Drosophila melanogaster: one gene and its partner. The protein of the gene in region 1 interacts with the protein of each later gene in a pairwise test. Each region holds a gene or a part of one and is shown on either strand. Other genes may lie near its edges. The genes, in order: CG2218 and CG2120.

The links.
Region 2: the proteins of CG2218 (region 1) and CG2120 interact in a two-hybrid assay, tested with the Drosophila melanogaster proteins (one large-scale study listed by BioGRID).

The regions. Positions count from the first base shown.
Region 1 is NT_033777.3:30,424,723-30,430,003, reverse strand, and holds CG2218 (uncharacterized protein), read left to right. Parts: upstream 1-1,727; 5' UTR 1,728-2,163; coding exon 2,164-2,868; intron 2,869-3,189; coding exon 3,190-3,945; 3' UTR 3,946-4,577; downstream 4,578-5,281. Other genes in the region: CG15533 (uncharacterized protein), read right to left, coding at 126-1,162; CG15536 (uncharacterized protein), read left to right, coding at 4,867-5,281.
Region 2 is NC_004354.4:8,133,575-8,137,557, reverse strand, and holds CG2120 (uncharacterized protein), read right to left. Parts: upstream 1,735-3,983; 5' UTR 1,687-1,734; coding exon 1,492-1,686; intron 1,424-1,491; coding exon 671-1,423; 3' UTR 512-670; downstream 1-511. Other genes in the region: CG10958 (uncharacterized protein), read right to left, coding at 2,815-3,983.

The DNA of each region.
Region 1 (5,281 bases):
GCAATGCGAAAATAAAGATAAGGATTATTAGTCCACTTATACATCCGGGATAATCTGAGATTAGGAATCCCAATTCATGCAATTTATAAATATCAAAATTTAGATTTTAAGGATCCCCTACTTACAGGTTGAGTGGATGAGGCTCGTGGTTTCCGATGCAGGGATATACGGGTACATCTCCGAAGGCCGCGTTTAGCCGCTCACTGACCTTGGTCAGCACCATGGTGTTCTTCTCCACGGAAGTGGCCCACACCATGTGGTCCACTATGTCGCCAGTCTGGTAAATGAAGTCGCACTTGGAGTTGGCCACCGCGTTGTCCAAGGCTGACTCGAAGGCGTGCCAAGGCAGATCGCAGTCCCGGTAGTCGCCCCAGTATCCAGCTGCATCCGACGTACCCTCGGTGGTCTCCTTGTTCCTCTGACAGCACATGGGTTCCGCACAAGTGGCCAGGCTGCCGGGGGTGTAGTAGGGATCATGGTGAATGTCGGAGAACTGGCAGATCCTGATGTCCGAGTCCTGAAAGGTGGGAGTGTCCGACTTGGGGCCAGCCGAAGCCTCTCCAGTATTGTCTATAGTCAAGGTCCAATTGTAATCTTGATTTGTACCGGTGTTACAGAAGTTAAACTCCATGAACAAGGAGCAGAAGCTCTGGGAATCACTCTCGGAGTTCCTCATGATGTACTCCACGGAGGGCAGGTTGGAATCGATCAATCCCTCGCAGACCTCCTCCGTTTGCAGATTCAAGCGGCGGCACACGTCCATAGCGAATTCCTTCATCAGAACGGAGCTATTCTCCCCGTGGAGCTCGCCGTCCTCCTCGCGAATGGTGCGAATCAAAACCCGCGTCACCGAGCGACAGGCCACGCACGCAAAGAAGCTATCCCTGGGCTCTAGATCGGGCATGTTCCTGGTGAATATATCCTTCTCACTGTGCGACTTGGCCAGCTGATTGGTGAGCTTCAAGAACTCCGCCGTCTCCACTCCGGTCTTCAGGAAGGTGATGTACTCCCTGGCCAGACGCTCGGCTATGTCGTCTGCAATGGCGGACAGGATGTGGTCGTCCAGGTCGAAGTCCACGGGCACTCCCGGCAAGTTTACGGCGGAGACCACCAGGAACCCGGAGGTCAAGGCGATCGCCAGCAGGATTCCGATTGCTTTCATGGTTCGCAGAGCAACTGGAGCATAGTTTCCACGTGTGGGGCCATTTATAGCTTTCGGTTATCTCTCAGCCAATGGCCACCCCATTAACCAGGCCGGAAAACGCATTCATGGCAGAGATTAGCCTAATCTCGAATAGTAGAACTTTTATATGATTATATTTTTGGCATGAGAAGTGGCCACAATCTGCCTCCGGTGGGGCAGATTTCTAAATAATCATATCGCAAAAATTACCATTTTTGACCATTCACCACAAATAGGCAATTAATAAGTCATATTACATATTTCGATATAACTTTCCCTTTTTAACTAGATACTTTATGATTCAAAGAAGCCAGAGCCTATAGTGTAAACTGATGAACCTTATCATATCTGCTTTGCTAATTTAAGTATAAATGATAAACAAAGTTCTTGAGATCGTTTTTGCTTATTGAACAAGAAATCAAATTAAGTATACACTTTTTCAAAATGTAAATGAATATAACTCAACCATAGCAATCGTGTTTTTCATTGTTTCATTCGAAACGAAACAGATTTCGAAAAGGCTTGCATTATACGTTGAAACAAATATTTTAACTCATTCAATTTTTGCCGCCCAAGCGAATAGGTGTTACCGTACGCGAGTACTGAGCGAAGTCCATCTGACTGGTCGCACCACCACTACCGCCCGGGCATGGTCACACTGCACAAGCGAGTGATTTATAAATATTCGAAGAGGCAGGGCGATAATTGCAATTGAAGCAGCGTTGTGAGATGCCAGCCGAAGTCCAGGCCAGGCTGTGAGTGTTCAGGATCGGCTGAGAGCAGGAGCGCACCCAGTGCGGGATTAGCAGGGGATTACCAGGCAGGATTAGCAGCCTCCGCAGGCAGACGCAACAACAAAAGATTCCCGAGAAGTGACGCCATTTTCATTGCGAATAAAGAGCAGGTGGGGCACAGAGTAGATATACGCCGTGAAGAGCCACATAACAGCAGCCGAGAGTATAGCACAGTGGGCAGCCAGGATGAGCAGTCTGATCAACTTCCTCAACCCAAAGCTTAAGCCCTCCGTAGAGACCGATGCCGTCTGCGAGGATGGCTACACTGCGGCCAATCTGGTGGCCGACGACGTCGAGCAGCTGGAGCGTGGATTCATGTGCTTCGCCGTCTGCAAGCCGCCCATAGAGATCGTATTCGACTTCCCCAAGGCGGTGGACATGAAGGTCATCAAGCTGTGGCCCTCCTGCGGAGCCCTACGATCCACTGCCTTCGAGCTGCATGGACGACACGATGGTATCTGGGAAAGGGTTGCCTTCGTACGCGATCTGGGGCGTGGCGTGGACTCGGTGACCTTCTGCTACCAGAGCGACTACAACTCACGGAGCAGCTCCAACTCGGAGCAGAGCGAGAAGGTGTTCTTCTTCAAGTCCGCCCACAAGATCCTTGCCAGCACAAACAGCGTCAAGGTGGTGATCCGGGCCACGGAAAGGTGTCCTCCAGTGCTGAGGAAAGTTCAGATGTGGGGACTGCCCGCTCGTTCGCTGGACAAAGCCGATCGCGAGCTGGTCAAGACCATCTGGAGCGAGATAAGCGATCCCTACGGCCAGAGGGACGCGGCCCAAACGCCCACCGGGCAGAGATCACCACCGCGGAATGTTCCAGAGCTCAGGGACCAGTCGACCCTCTCTATTCCTGAAGAGTTCCTCGACTCCATCACCTGGGAGCTAATGGTAAATATCAGAAAATCCTAGCTTTTTATGTTTAAGTAGTAGTACAACTGAATACATACCCATGTCAATTCATGAAATCAATCGTTTTGCACGGTTTTATTATTCATAATTCTTTATAATCTTTATGAATCAATTATCATGTCTTTATCAAAACCAAACAAGGTAAATATCGGAAGTCATGTAAAGAATTCATTTTCTTCATAATGAGAATTGCATTATAATGTCCGAAACGCAACAACACTTAAATATAAAGATAATAGGATGCTCTGTGAACTGTTTACTTTGTAGCTCTCCTTATCAATTCTCCCATTGCCTCTTCAGATCTTCCCCACCGTGCTGCCATCTGGAAAAGTGGTGGACCAGTCCACCATCGACAAGCACGCCGAGGAGGAGGCCAAGTGGGGTCGCCAGCCCTCGGATCCGTTTACAGGCCTGGAGTTCAATGCGCAACGCAAGGCGATTCTCCACCTGGCCCTAAAAGCGCGCATCGAGAAGTTCCTCATGGAGAATTCGGAGCACTTCAAGGCGGTGCCCCGTTCGCTGGGCACCTCTCGCCAGCGTCGTCGTCACGCCTCGCAGTTCGCCAGCAGCACCTGTCAGCCGGGACAGATTAGTCCGGCTGCCGGAACCTATTCGGCACTGAGCAACGCCTACAAGCAGCAGCAGCGGAAGAGCAGGGCCACTGCCACGGCCACATCCTCATCGGCGGCATCCTTCGGCGGATCTCCGCACTCGCCGCCGGCGGCCAAAAGAGCAAGGCACAGCCAACACGGTAGCGCCTGTGCCACGGTGACCTCGGCCACAACCTCCATCGATCAGGCCATTCAACAGGCGCTGCAGAAGGTGACGCGCTTTAGCCAATTGCCATCGAACTCCAGCGCAGGCTCGGGATCCTCAAGTGCTCCGCCCGCCAGCTGCATCAACTGCCGGAGTGCGCAGTTCGGCTACGAAATCCGCACCTGCCGACATCTGGTCTGCCGGGAGTGCCTGGTGCTCCTCTCGCAGGATCAGCAGTGCGTGTGCAAAGTATTCTTCCGCTGCGCCGACGTCGAGCGCTACCACAAGCTGGATCCTTAAGAGCTTCCCCGTACATCTCCCAATCGACCGCCTTCCGTCGATTGCCGCAATGAGTTTGGTTCTCCCCATCCGGTTCAGTTTGTAAGCCAGTCAATCGCTTTAGCCCCTAGGCCTCGTCTACGTTAGTTTATAGTCATATCAGAGTCGGTCTGGTCGCAGAATCGCAAAATCGCAGTTAAGCCAAATGTGTACACGCGCGAGTCCCTCCCGATTCGGCAGTATGTATCAGTATCAGGTCACGTTTAGTCATAGAGCAGATTACGGATTACCGATTAGCAATAGAGAGTGCGCGCCTAGTTTTTGTAGACACTTTATATACAGTCCCCGAAAGACAGGATCGTTCAGCGCGAGTTTATATATTCATACCAATTCTACCTAGAATAAAGTACAATAAAACCTAAGTCCAATGTGTAATCAATGGAGAGTAGTAGCGATATATTCCACAGTTTGGCATTCATTGCGTTTTTTAAACTCGTTTAAACAAAATGTGTTTCTGTTAAGTTGAAATTGTCGAAAAGCTTAAAATTTTAAATTAGTTTTAGTTGTAATTGCTTTATTTGTACCGGTTATTGTTAATTTTGAATCGGAAATAATTGTGCATAATTTTATGCAATGTGTATTTTTTTATCACTACTCTCAATAAATATAAATAAAACAAAATAGTGGTTTTTAATATGTTTACATTTCTCACTTAAGAATTATTTTTTACGTTATATATCAAAAAAATCTAATTTGTTATTTTTTACATAATAATTTACATTCTCTTCATGGTAACCTACATTCCTTTGTGGCGCCCTCTACTGTCACTCTCTTAGTACTACTCCTTTCGCGTGTTATCGATATCGAAGAGAACAGCTGATTACACATCTGTTCTGCGATATTTCAAAATCCTTTTGGTTAGTACGTTTTTTCTAATTTTTAATGCCTGGTGAGGCAAATAACACGCCTCAATCCGGACGGAGACCCCGACTCGGATTGAGTAGGCGTGGTTGCCAGTCAACGCCCTTAATAAGACTTCAGAGAGACGATTCCGCTGCAAATACACCAAAATGTAGTGAACAGGAGACTCCGCGGGCACCGCCTTTATCGCTGAGCTCTCGCAGGATAGGATTGTCCAAAAGCAGGACAGGCTTGTCCAAGAAGAAGCTAGAGTTTGCTGCGGCCCACGGAATTAAGGACGAGGAACGGGAAATAGTGAAGAAAACAGCAAAAAAGGATAAAAAGGAAAGGAATGATGCTCAAGAGGCTCTTGATGCGCCAGAGGAGATACAGGAGCACGGCAACCAGAAGAACCAGCTTGAAAACAGTCCACAGAGCAGTAAAATCGTTGAGCTAC
Region 2 (3,983 bases), on another chromosome or scaffold:
TGCTTCGCTGTTACGACCAAAAATAACTGTACCGCCTGGCCAGTGTTGGGCAGTGAATGGTGCGTGGCGGGCAGTGTTGCCTAGCGCACTTGTCCTCTGGTTCCGGCGAAACTTTAATTTAAGTTTTGTCTATTGTTTGCCCCCTTTGTTGCTTTTAAGTTTCTCACGTGTGCAGTTTAGTGCTAAGACACTTAGTCCTGATTGTCAATCAATCGAATAAACGACCGCGAACGAGATTGTGTTTTGTTAATTGGCTCTAATCACTGTTTTTAATCAAACAATTGTTTTCGTATTTCCGGCTAAGCCCGCAAATAATGTAATGTAATCCTTAAGTTATGCCTAAACGAAACAAAGCAATGCAGGCGAACATGCAACAGCAACAGTCAACAGTCCTCCGAGGACACAACCACAGAGAACCAGCAACCCCGTACCCGTAACTTTATAAAGTATAAATACAAATATATACATATATCTAATATGCAAGCATGCAGATAAAGACAAACAGAATCGTATATATAAATAAACACTTATATTGAATGGAAAGCGCAGACCAAGCCCCCTTCCGGGGGGCAGCTTAGGGTGGGGCGAGTCTCGGATTCGCCTGGAATTCGATTCGAATGGACAGGGAAATCGTACCGTATACTAACATAATCAAAGTGCTCTCGAGCTGTCAACGCTCGTGCACCTTGAGGTGTTGCTTATGATTGGATTTGCGCAGAAATCGTGCTGGACAGAGTGGACAGGCAAATGGTCGCTGCTGGGTGTGGGCAATCTGGTGGTGCTTCAGCTCCGAGGCACTAAAGAATCTCTTGCCGCACTCCGGCTGTGGGCATGGGAAGTCGCGCTGATTGTAGTGCCGCTTCAGGTGGATGCTAAGATAGCACTGATCCGTTAGGACCCGGCTGCAAACCGGGCAGGTGAAGCTGAGCGCAGATGTATCCCGTTGCTCTTGCTCCGCCAGCGGATGTTCGGGATCCGGATCCGTTTGTGCCGCATGCCTTAGCTTTGTGTGAATGCGCCGCGCGTGGATGGAATGAAAGGAGAGATGACAGTCGGTGGCCAAACATGGATATGGTTTCTCTCCCGTATGCAAGCGTCGATGGACAGTTAGGTAGTTGGCATACCGGAAACCCTTGCCGCAGATATCACATTTGTGTGGCCGCTCCGCCGTGTGGGTCACTGCATGGATGCGTAGCTTGTTCAGTTGCCGGAATCCCTTGCCGCACTCCACGCACACATGCGGCTTCTCGTCCGTGTGCGTCATCTTGTGGATGCGCAGATTGTAGGCTTCCGAGAATCTTCTGTCGCATATGTCGCAGGTGTGATCCTTGCCAGTTGTTCGGTGGCGTTTAGTGGTTGGTGTCCGCTTGGGCTTGCACATGTCTGTTGGCTTATGTTCCGTGGTGTTTCGCTGCTGGAGAGCCTGAATGAAGGAGATTGATTATGGATTCATTAATAGTGTGCAATTTACCATTTGGACCGTCAACTCACCCCATTCACAAGTTCCAATAGATCGTATTCCGAGCCCGGATTCAGCAGCTCCATCTCCATTGGCAATCTTTCTCCGGAGAGATCCTCCAGTTGGGCAAACAGTTGCAAATCCTCGAGGCAAACGTCATAGTTACCCAGATCGTCGTCCGCCAAAGTGGCGTTTGCCATTTGGGATACGGGATCTATGGATCGCATGATGGTCCTCCGCTTCCGTTCGGACTGCTGTTGTTTGGCCAACTGACGATCAAGACTTCCGCTACCGCAGGAAAATAGACGGCAATGCCAATGGAGTCCGAACGAGCGTCGATAAGATTACGCCGTGTTTAATTATGTAGTATATTATTACAGGTCGCAGTTGTAGTTGCTTGCCATGAAATTCAATAGAACAAGCTGTTGCGGTTGCTCTTGTATTATTATTTTATCGAAATGTCGTCCATAAAGTTTGCCCATAAATGAATGATTAGCCCGGTCTGCACTTTAAACGCTGGCGGTGCGCACTTTGAGCCAATTGGACGATCCCTTTCGTGGACTACCCTAAATATGTGGTTTCATATATATGTAGTATAACCATTTTCTTGTCTACCGCTCAACTTTATCGGTTTGCCCTGATAAGACACATAAGACACAAGTGCAACAAGTTCTAATCGTTTGGCTTCCAGTAGTGAAATGGTAGCTGTGGGAGGTAAGCGATCGAAGGTATTCCCCGTCGTAGAGATCATCTAACGCCAACTAGTTCCCACGGACTCAAAGTTCGAAATGAAATGAAAAGCAAATCAAACATCTGAGATCGACAGTTTGGTGGACCAGAGAGCGGCATGGACGGCATTGGGAATATTTCTAAAGGGGATGGATGGGTACTTTAAGTTTATGAAGCAAATACAAGTCATATTTATCTCAAAGATATGGTATTAAGATTAATTTAAGGACTCAAGGGGAAACCCCTCACAAATGTTATCAAAGAGCTCTTTTCATGCTAGGCACTAATAATGATATCAGAGAGCTGTTCATAGTTTAGAGCGGGACAAACTGAGCTATAGACGTAGTAATATTTAACTTTGAGGGGTTCCATTATTTTAAATATTTAAAATCACAAGGTTTTCATGTTCAAAATATACTTTTATTGCACGACTCTTGAATGAAACAAGCTTTTTCAGATGGCGCCCGTGCAGGGACCCCACGTCTCTAAACTATTTCGATGTCAATGTCAAAGAGCAAGACCTAGGCACAATTATAATTTATCATGTTTGCAGTGAAATCGGACAATAATTGCTTGGGATTATGTATGTGCATTGCGGTTGAGGCTGTAATTGAATAATATCGCACCTAGACGGTGAACTTTTGCAGCAGATGGCGCAACTCTTCGTTTTGGCGACGCAGAAAGACGACTTCCGCATCGTACTGCACACGCATCTTGAGCACCTCAACGTAGTGATTCAGTCCGTGCTCCAGTGTCTTCCACAGCTTGCACTTGGAGGCCGGGAAGCAGGCCGAGAACTGGCGCCAGAAATTACGGATCTCCGCATCTGTAATCTGAATGAGATTTACCGCATTGAGAATGCTACCCGGTTCGTGTTCGTACATCTTTTTGTGCATCTTGGAGGTGAACAGATTCATGGCGTGCAGGCAGAGGGCCGGTTCCATGACCAGATAGTGATTGTGACATCTCTTGGCCGCCACCTCGCTCTTGGGTAGAAATGTATCCCCTGTCGACCTATGCTCCTTTTCATCCGGTTGGCCACCCGCCGCGCCCTGCAGCCGATTTGGCTTTTGATCCTTCATGAACACCTCGGCACACTTGCGTGGACTCAATCCCTGCGGCTGGCAATTCGGACAGTAGGTGTACGGCATGAAAACCTTGGTCAGTTCCTTGACATCCCGCAGATGACGAATTCGCAGCGCCGCAAATATATTGTCGATGCGTACCAGGCATTTTTCCTCCTCGGAATACGGTTCAAGAATCTTTAGCAGACGCTCCTCGATGAGGAAACCGCCGCGATCGGACAGCTTGCGAATAAGATTACGCATCAAGCGTAGTGAATCCGGCGGAAGCTCCTTGATATCCGGCTTGCAATTTACGCCCGAGTTGGGCATCACCCTGTTCTTGGGAACCCGGCCAATTCGCATGTCAAACTTCTCCAGAATGTTATTGCGCTTTTTCTTCGCCTTGTTGATGTTTGGAATGGGTGGCACGGGGCTGGACCACGGCATGGCCAACTGCTGCTCGTGTATGATGCGATCGATGTGGTAGACCCGATCCACCAGCAGGTTCAGTTCCTTGTAGTTGATCTCCCAGATGCGATCGAACTTTTCGCGATTGTTCAGCCTCGCCTGATGCGCCTTCGACTCCATATCGTTGATGTTGGAGTGCAGCTTGTAGATGTCCGAGGAAAGACGGGCTATGTTCCGCTTGCCCGTGTTGTAAAGATTCTTCAGGCCACGCCGGGTGCGTCCGATCGCCTCATGCAGTCGGGCCACCCGTCGCTTCTGCTGGT